2 linked regions of the Mus musculus genome follow. The protein of the gene in region 2 binds, or shares a complex with, the protein of the main gene of each other region. Links are inferred from orthologs where the notes say so. Each region holds a gene or a part of one and is shown on either strand. Other genes may lie near its edges.

What was found. The genes of interacting proteins can lie anywhere in the genome.
Region 1: the proteins of Rasip1 (region 2) and Rap1b are in contact, whole or in part, in a crystal structure (PDB 5KHO), measured with the Homo sapiens proteins. The link is inferred for Mus musculus from reciprocal best matches to the Homo sapiens genes RASIP1 and RAP1B. Residues at the interface, in NP_060275.2 of Homo sapiens: Val147, Lys149, Ala156, Ser157, Gly158, Ala159, Asn160, Tyr161, Lys162, Ser163, Val164, Leu165, Glu181, Arg182; in NP_001010942.1 of Homo sapiens: Val24, Gln25, Asp33, Pro34, Thr35, Ile36, Glu37, Asp38, Ser39, Tyr40, Arg41, Glu54, Leu56, Phe64.

Annotation. Positions count from the first base shown.
Region 1 is NC_000076.6:117,842,813-117,847,637, reverse strand, and holds the start of Rap1b (ras-related protein Rap-1b), read left to right. Parts: upstream 1-1,663; 5' UTR 1,664-1,807; intron 1,808-4,825. UniProt on the Homo sapiens protein: GTP-binding protein that possesses intrinsic GTPase activity. Contributes to the polarizing activity of KRIT1 and CDH5 in the establishment and maintenance of correct endothelial cell polarity and vascular lumen.
Region 2 is NC_000073.6:45,625,805-45,630,624, reverse strand, and holds the start of Rasip1 (ras-interacting protein 1), read right to left. Parts: upstream 3,089-4,820; 5' UTR 3,035-3,088; intron 2,860-3,034; 5' UTR 2,856-2,859; coding exon 2,719-2,855; intron 2,212-2,718; coding exon 1,544-2,211; intron 486-1,543; coding exon 130-485; intron 1-129. Other genes in the region: Izumo1 (izumo sperm-egg fusion protein 1 precursor), read right to left, coding at 3,417-3,597, 4,344-4,602. UniProt on the Homo sapiens protein: Required for the proper formation of vascular structures that develop via both vasculogenesis and angiogenesis.

The sequences.
Region 1 (4,825 bases), on a different chromosome or scaffold from region 2:
TTCCAGTTCAGTCCCCCTGCAGTCACATAAGAATCCAGAGTGGTGGGAATGGAGACAGGAGACTCCCTTGAGATTGGTGGCCAGCCACTCAAGCCTAATTGGTGAGGTTCAGTGAGAGACCCTGTTTCAAAACAACTAAGTGGAGAGCGACAGAAAATAACCTGTTCACCTCTGGCTTCTGTGTGCCCACAGGCGAGGGCACAAGCGTGCAGAAGCACACACAACTGTCAATTATGGGTTTTTTCTTTTTTTGTTGTTCTAAAGGTTGAACCTACTACACTCGGACACTTGCTAGACAAGTACTGGATCATTAAGCTATGCCCCCCCCCTTTTTTTAACTTCTTGAGAATCTCACAAAACCGTTTAGGTTGGCTTTAACTTACTCTGTGGCCTCAGCAACCTAGAATTTGCAAGGAGCCACCTCCTGCTCAGTCTGCAGAAGAAAGAGGTGTGCTCTTACAGACTGGCATCCTGAGACCCAGCTATAATTCTTTCTTACTCGCTCACTTAACTCAGGTTAGCGTAGTGGTCACGTCTCCATTTCTCTTCTAGGGTTCGTTAAATTTCCAGAATAATTTGTACAGGGAGGGCCAGCTAAATTGCCTACTCCTTTCAGTACTTTCCTCTCAAGTTTTGTTCATCAAAACCTTTTCCCTCGCTGGCAGTGGTGGCGCATGCCTTTAATCCCCAGCACTCCATACGTAGAGGCAGGTGTATCTGAGATGAAAGCCAAGCTGGTCAACATAGCAAGGTCAGGCCAGCCAGGACCACGCAATGAAGAGAGCGTAATCAGAGCAGAAACAAAGTCTTCCAAACAAAGCTCTGATAGCATGATTCTCATATTAAAGGTGATGGTGAGAAAATATTCTAATTACCTAGATCGATGTAAGTTCTTGTGCTCTTTGGAACAAGTCATTTTTGGACAGAGCTTTTCGGAGTCACATCATAGACTGACATCTATGAGTAATCTATAAAGTCATGAAGGCGCCCCAGGCATGCTCTTCCATGAACCAATTATTTTAATTCTATAAACTGTTCACTTAGGCACAGGCCATAAGCATGCTTTGGAATCCTCCATTCGCGAACTGCGTCTGGCAGGGTAATTTGGACAGCTGGCCCTGCTTAACACACCACAGGCTGAAATACTTGTCAAACCTAAAGAAAGGCCATTTGAAAAATGAAAAGCTGCCCTCGCGCTCTGGGAGTGGGAACTGCTGCTCTGTTACTTCCCCAGCACAAAGGACCACGCGAACACCGACGGTCTGGGGGCGTTGGCGACTGTGCACTCGGAGGCCCCGCGAAGGCGTCAGAGGTTTCCAAGCCCCTGAGCTCCCCGTTACCCGCTGGGGTCGAAACGGATGCGCTCCGCTGAGGCTGACACCGATTATGTCGGACAGCCCAGCCAGCGGGGGGCGAGGCCGACCGCAGCAACGAGACGCAGGGCAGGGGAGAAGGGCCACGGCCGGAGCCGGCGACCGAGAGCCGGGGCGAGGCCCACTGCGAGGCGAGCACGACGAGACCCCGCCCCCCTCCGCCAGGGCCCGCCTCGGCCCCGCCCCTTCCCGGGCTGCGCTCCTGCGCGCCCCGCCCGCGGGCGGAAGCGAGAGCGAGGCTGAACGCCTGACGTCAAGGCGACACCGCCAAACCTCGCCCAGAGTCAGGCGTGGAAAGCAGCCCGAGCGGCGGCGGCGGCGGCGACGGCGACGGCGGCAGCGGCAGAGACCGCCGTGGCGCCGGGAGCAGCGACCCGAAGGGAACGCGCGGCGACGGCGAGGGCGACGGCGGCGACCCGGTGACAGCGCGAGAGGTGGGCGCGGGGTGCGTGCGTGGCCGCGAGGCTGGCGGGGGGCCGGGCGCCGGCTGAGGGGAGAGGTGGGGTGCGGCGCGGACCGGGCGGGGCAGCCCGATGGCCCCCGCGGCGGCGAGGGTGGCCCGGGCGCGCGGCAGGTGGCTGGCGGGGGGCCCCCCGAGTCCCTCGCTCGCTTCGGCGGGGCGCGCCGCCTCGGGGCGGCCGGGGAGGAACCGCGGCCGCGGCGGGGGAGCAGCGCGCTTTGCGGAAGGGGTCAAATGTCTGAAATATGGCGGAGGAAGTGAGCGCCCGAGGAGCCCCCACCCGCCTGCCCGAGGCCCCCGCAGCCTTCCCCGCCGCGCCCCGCTCCCCGCCTCGGCGGTGGGTGGAAGTTAGAGCGGAAACCAGAAAGTTGTCCTCTGCGGACACCCGGGCTTCTCCCAGCCCGGGGCCGGGCGGGCGGAGCAGCGTCGCGAGGGGGGGCGGGGGGACCACTCCCCGGCGCCCCGCGGGCTCGAGCCTGACAGGGAAAAAGTTTGCCCGGATCGGGGCTGGCTTGCTTCATTTGTTGCGGGAAGTGGCAGGAGGAAGGCAGCGGAGCGAGCCCCACCTAGTCTGGCAGCCGCCACCGTGCAGAGGGAAAAAAAAAATGTTAAAGGGGCCTTTCCTTCGTCAGCAAGAGGAAATCTCTTTTTCTCTTGCAGAGAGAAAAATCCAGGAAGTTTGTCCTCTTCTCCTTTTTTTTTTTTTTTTCTTTTCGCCATCTCGAGGTGTCTGATTCTGAAACTGACTTATCAGCGCCGTGAATTTGGGAACTAGGCCCTCGGGATTTTCCTTGGGGTGGAGGGGGGCGGGAGGAGAAGATGCCTTTGGAAGAAACATCTTCGCTTAAGAGTTTTGAGCAGATGGGATTGCTTTCCTTTCGCTTGCCCCCTCCCACCCCCCAATGCTTTAGAAAGATATTTTGGCCCTGCGACTCTCGACTCGTGTGCATACAAGCACTTCTTTATTACAGTAATAGGAACTCACATTTTTTTTTTTTACTAAGTTGAAAGTTGACATTACGATGCAGGCTGGACTTTTCAATATTTTAAAAATCAATTGAGTCTCGTTGAAATGTTTGCTTTGCTGGCAGTGTGTATTAATATATACCGAGTGCCTCTAGCTTGTAAATTCATTTTTTTTTCAGTTTTCTTTTGTATAATTAGAACGTTGTCGAGACTTGCCTGAAAGGAGTTTATCTTAGCAAGAAGTAACTTAATTGAATGGAGAAATTCTTTTAATTTAAAGCCCTTACCACTCTTAAAGCCTGATATGAAGTCAGTGTATTAAGTCATAATAGAGTCATGGGGCTTTTTAGGGCCGGAAAGAGACTCTTTAAATCATCTGGTCCCACCCTGTCGTTTCATGAGGAGGAAACTAAGGCCTAAAATAGATAACCAATTACCTGAGTCTGCTGATTTGTAAAGCCGTGGTCTATCCATAAAGGACAATCCACAGGAAGCAATGTGACTTTTTTTTTTTTTTAATTGTGAATTACATCTTGGTAGAGATTATTGGTCCCATTATGCTCTCTTCTCCAAGAGTGCCATAGTTAGCTAAATGGTATGGAATACGTCAACCCCTTAGGTAGTTTCATCCCCTGGTTTTGGTTAGAGGAAGTTAATACTCCGAGGAGGAAATAATTTTAACTTAGAGACACAGAATCCCAAATGACAGTCTTGTTTGATATCCATACTTTTAATCTCTGTAGTACATTATATTCCCTTGTACTTTCTTGTTTGACACAGAAGTTCAGTGACCTTATCTGTGGAAGCTGCAAAGTAAAATCAAAAGGACATATAGTTGCTTGTGCTATAATGTATCGAACCTCAGATTAACATCTGAAGGGCCCCATGCTAAGCCGGCTTAATTTTTAGTCTGTGGTCTGGGACACAGAAATGATGAACGTGTCTTTCTTCTTTTTCTGTCTGTCTTACCACTGTTCTTTCCGTGGCTTGTATCACTTCCTGTCTTCTGTTACTGTTGTGTGTGTTTCTCTGTTCTACCAAGTTGTAAGGTCCAAGGAAGGGGTAGATTTCTTCTGCATGCCTCAAATGACTAGCATGTCGCTGTTACATAGACACTCAGATGAAAGTTCAGTAGAGTTCATTGAACACACCATGAGAATAGGAATTCTGCTTTACTCTTAGTCCCTAGCATTTTACCTGGGCACATAGTGATGTTTGGGACTTAATTCAGAGACTAAAGAGAACAGTGTAATCATTTTAAAAAGAATTAAACATTTTCTTTGGGAATCTCTCACTTTCCACGTTGATCATTTTATCATTGGTCATTTATAATGATTCCAGTATTTTCTTTTGACCTATACAGGGAAAGTGAGCCCTCCCACTAAAGAGCCTATAAGAGTAACAAGTTGAAATAAAGAATCCTTTTTAAAAGATTTATTTATATGAGTACACTGTAGCTGTCTTCAGACACACCAGAAGAAGGCATCAAATCCCATTACAGATGGTTGTGAGCCACCATGTGGTTGCTAGGAGTTGAACTCAGAACCTCTGGAAGAGCAGTCAGTGCTCTTAACTGCTGAACCATCTCTCCAGCCCTTTTTGTTTGGTTTGTTTTGTTTGTTGTTTGTTTGTTTGTTTTGAGACAGGGTTTCTCTGTGTAGCCCTGGATGTCCTGGAACTTACTCTGTAGACCAGGCTGGCCTCGAATTCAGAAATCCACCTGCCTCTGCCTCCCAAGTGCTGGGATTAAAGGCGTGCACCACCACCACTGCCCCCTTTTTTTAAAGTGGTGCGAGGCATGGTATTTTGCAGCTGTGATCCCAGCAGTTAAGATTGAAGCAGGAGAATTGCCATAAATTTAAGGCTAGCCTGGGCTAGTGAAACCTGGTCTATAAATAAATATATGAATAACTTGATCTATGTACGTAAAGGTCTTTGAAGAACTTAGTGCTTATGCAGAGATTGATAACATATAACTGTATGTGCTGTTTTACATGTAAAGTCTTAAGATTGGCATGGGAAGCTT
Region 2 (4,820 bases):
ACCGTGCTGCTTCCTACTTGGGAACCCTGTGGGAACGGCCATTATACTGGAGAGGGCCTCATCCCAGGGCATTCTGGGTGTTGTAGTTTCTTCTGATGTGGCTCTATGAGTAGGGGAGATAGTGCTAACCTGAGCATCCTGGTAGCCCTGGAGCAGAAGGAAGTAGGGACGGTTGCTGGGTGCCTGAATGAGGCACTGAGTCAACTGATCGAAGTCTCCAGGGTCCGTTGGTACCATCTGAGCATCAGCTGCCCCTGGGGCCATGCTAAGGGCCTGCTGCCTGCGTTCCTGCTGCCTTCGCCTCCGCCCCTGTAGACTCAGCTCAGACACGCTTCGACGCAGAGACAAATTTTCAGATCGCTCCTTGCCCCCGGACCCAGTGGGGGTCCCGGATCCTGATCCTGGACCAGGACTGGCCAGAGCTGCCCCGCCAGATGCTGCCCGAGACCTATTCTTCTGGGTCCGCCAAGATGGGGCGTTTGTGCCTGTGGGGAGATGAGGAACACAGACTGTTAACTCTGGACATTGGTTTTGCCTGACTCCAACTTGGCGTTGTCAGCTGAGAAATGCATTCTTTTAACATGCATTTAGGAGCAATCACTGTGTGTCAGCGACTGGCCCAGGCAATAACAGTGAGAACTGCCGCTGGGGAGATGCAAACAATAATTTCTTCCTAACAATGTTTTCTAGAAGTCCATAGACTCACAGAAAGTTCCCTACTGAAAGAGGCTTAACGAATAAACATGTTTTTCCACTAAAAGAGGAAAAAAGATTCCACTTCATCTGTCCGTGGACACCAGAGATAAAAAATGTGTGGCTCGAAATGTGTGCTCAGAAAGGCGTTTTTTTTTTCCCTTGAGAGAGAAGAGACGACAGTAATTGTCATTCTTTTGAGTGGTTATTGGTGTTTAGCCTGCATCTATATCTACGGGAAGATGTCAGATCCCCTAGTAGCGGAGTTAAGGACAGTTGTGAGTTGCCATGTGGGTGCTGGGAACTGAACCAGGGTCCTGTGAAAGAGCAAGCCAGCGCTCTTTACCGCTGAACCAACTCTCTAGCCCTCCCTATTCTCTATTAAGTATGTGCTATGCCATTTATATACGTTATTCCACTGAACCTTCACCTAGAACTCCAACCCTGTCTTGGTTAAAATAAAATAAGCTATACCACAAAGGTAAAGTAATAAAAGATATATCATGTAGGTTAACACCCCTTAACCATGCTACCTACTGCCCTTATCAGACCCGGCCTGTAAGTTCCGCCCCAGAATGGCACCACCAGTTTTGTCCTGCTGGCTCCGCTCCCCTCCAATTACACCCCACTCCAGCACATCCAGTCCAGAGTCTTCCCACTCTGTGTGCCCTGCCACCAGAACCTCCCAGAGCCCTCCCTCATCACCTCTCACCCAGGTCCCTGCCTTTTATCATGCAGGCCCCGCCTCCTCTCCCTGTAAGCCACGTCCCCATCACCTCCCGCCCAGGGTCCAGTCATCTTACTGCCCCCTAAGTCCCGCCCCAAGTCTCTGTGCCCTTCCCTGGCTGACCGTCTGCATCCGCAGCCCCGAAGGCCTCCTGCTCCAGCCGTCGAGCCTCCTCGCGGCCGCGCAGCTCAAAGCGCCGCGCCCAGCCCGGACGGGCGCGCCACAGGTCCTGCACCAGCAGAGGGCGCTCCGCGTCGGCCAACACCCGCAGGTGCTCGGCACGCCACTCGCCTCCGCCCACGCCGACCGCGGGCCGGCCCAGAGCGTCGCAAAGCGCGTAGGCGTCCACGCAGCCGCTGTCGCCCGCTCCGCGGCCGCCCGTCAGCCCGTAGCGCTCCAGCGCCTCCGCCACCAGCTCGCGCGCGGTGGATCGCTCCGTAGCCAGCACGCTCTTGTAGTTGGCGCCCGACGCCAGCCCAGAAGCGAAGATCTTGAGCACTCCCGGGGGCACCGCGGCACGCGTGGGCAACGGGGGCTCCGGAGCTACACCCGCCGCCAGTTCAGGCAGCTTCTTCTCGCTGGCCCAGCGCTGCGCGCCCCCAGGCGTGCCAGGACCCCCGGCGCCGCCGGCCCCTGAGCCCCGAAACAGCTGCGAGATGCGCTTGGCTCGGCTGCCCGACGCTCCCCCCGCCGCCTTCACCGCACCTACGCGCCGCAGCTCCACGTGCGGCGGCGGCGGCGGCGGCGGCAGGGGCTCGCTGCTTCGGCTCCCCGTGTCGGAGGACGAGGACCTGAGGAGAAAGAAGTGGGCAGAGAGGACACAGAAGAGAGAATCAGAGACAGAGACACAGAGAGAGACAGAGACACAGAGAGACACCCAGAGATAGTGCCCAGAAAGAGGGGCCAAAGACACAGAGAAACCGAGAAAGGGGGAGGGACAGAAACTCAAGAGTCAGAGACAAAGAACCAAAGAAAAGGGACAAAGGGATGGGAGCAGAAAACCAAGATGGTGGTGTGCGGTGGGAAGAATGGAGATAAGAGAGATAGGTAATAAAATTAATAAAGATATGACCCTTGGTAAGAAATAGGTGAACAGAGAGAGGGGATGTGTACTGCGTTCCATCCCAGTGCCCACTTCTTCTCTCCCTGTGCCTCGACGTCACTGTGTTCCACTGTCACCCCCCAGCTCGCTTGTCTATTTAGGACAGGAACCACTGCCCACTTTTGTAGGGTCGCTGGCATGACCCAGTGATAAACAGGGACAAATGGCAGGCATACCATAGAGGTTGACCACTTACTTGACAGAGGCAGCGCTGGGCCAGCGCCGCCCCAGTTTGGCGAGCTGTTTCCTTGGGGAATTGATCCACAGGCCCACTGGAAGATGGAGCTTCCCGAAGCGGGGGCTTCCGCCCTCCTTTCGTTCACCAGATAGCATGGCCCTAAGGGAAGAGGGGAAGGCCCCAAGTCCTAAGGCCACAGTCGGGTGGGGTGGGGTAGAGTGGGGAGCTACGGAAGAGAGAATCAGTTCTGGTTCCTGAATCCCAGGGAGTAAGAGGGGCAAAGAAATGAGCTCCTAGGTCCCAGGATGGGTGGAGTCACTGTTGTGGCTCTTACCCTGCTTCGGGTCCCGTAGCACCCGGAGGCCCTGGTGCTGTTGGCCTCCGTTAAGTCCCAGTCCCTCTGTAAAGTGTTTTCCTCTGCCCAAGCTCCCAGCACTGGGTGGGGGACAGGAAAAGGCAAGAGGAAACCCGGCAGGAAGAGCGGGGAGGGGGCGTCCTGTGAGGAGACCAGGCCTGGGGGAGGAGATGAGGCAGGGCTGGCCCTGGCCTGCGCCTTGATTCTGGGCCCACCACTCACTCATGGGCCACCTAGAAAGGGAGGTCCCATGTTCCAGCTACAACTCCCTCAGATGGCGGGGGAGGGCACATCCAGATCTCCTCTCTTGGAGCCAGAAGTCAGAACCAGTCCCCAAAAGTAAGTCAAATACAAATCTTTATTAGTTTTCTGTTGCCTCGCTCTTATCTCCAGAGTAGTCAGAGTTAAAATCTGCCTGAGAGGCCTTCTTCAATCCCATCTGTTGGGACAAACTCTGATCTGACTTGGATCCTGACGCGGTGGGTTTGACTTCGTCACTTGCATTCTTCAATTTAGCGCTGACTTTCCTAAAGTGAAGTACCCTGGGGCAGGACATAGGTGCACAGAACCACATTAGGTCACAGGTTGAGTGAAGTACACACTTTCCTGAACCGCCCCCCCCCAAGCCTAACTTAACAGTTTATATAAGCCTTGTCCTCCTAAGTGAGCCCCAAAGGAAAGTGCCCAGTAGCTTCCTGTCCTGTTGCCAGCACTGGATTGTAGGATGCCCTCCCTCCACCCAGGCCCGACCCACTCCAAATCACTTCCCTCCACAAGGCCGTTTCCTTTCCATCCATCCATCCGTCCATCCAAGCCCTTGTCTGCACCCTTCTATAAAATCTCTCCATAGCCAAGACTACACTCCTCCATCAAGCCACTCCCCTCCACCAAGCCCCTCCTCTCCGCCAGCTCCCTTCCTTCCATCAAGCCTGCCTCTGTCTTCAAGCCCCCCTCTTACCCAGACCCCCAAGTCCTCTATCAAGACATGCTCCGGCCCATTGGACACACAAACTTTATATGCCCCAGTACAGGGGAATGCCAGGGCCAAAAAGGGGGAGGGGGTGGGTAGGGGAGTGGGGGTGGGTGGGTATGGGGGACTTTTGGTATAGCATTGGAAATGTAAATGAGCTAAATACCTAATAAAAAAATGGAAAAAAAAAAGACATGCTCCTTTCAAAGCTTGTCTCATTCCTGCTTTTCCTCCACTGCACCTGCGTCTCTTCCCTTCACCCAAGTCCACTTTATCTAAGGCCCACCCTCCCTTTAAATTTCCTGGTGAACAGCTCACGAGATAATGATGCTGGCCACAAGAACCACAAAGCCAAGGGTCAACAGTATTAAGAGGCGAGTTTTCATTTTTTTCTCTGGATTTTGAGCGACTGTAGGTATGAGCTCCGGGTACAACTCTGGGTGCAGCTCCGGGTACAGCTCCGACTCTGGCTCCTGCCCCGGTGGTGTCTGTGGAGTCACGTGGACAGGAGTCTCGTGCTCCTCTTGGGTTATGATGTTCGGTGGTTGGTTTTCCTCTGAATGCTTTGGGGGCAATACTGACAGAGGAGAACCATAGGGCAGTCCTGGCAGCAGCCAATAACTGCAAGCCTACCCCAAAACCCTAGCCTTCTCTAAAGGGTGGGCACACCCCAGTAAGTCCAACTGAAGCCTAAGACAACCCAGTTAGGCAGGAAACCATACCTCCAAGACCAGAAAACACACCTTCTAAGGGAAGCCACACCTCTCATCACAGACCCTGTTTATAGCCAAAGCC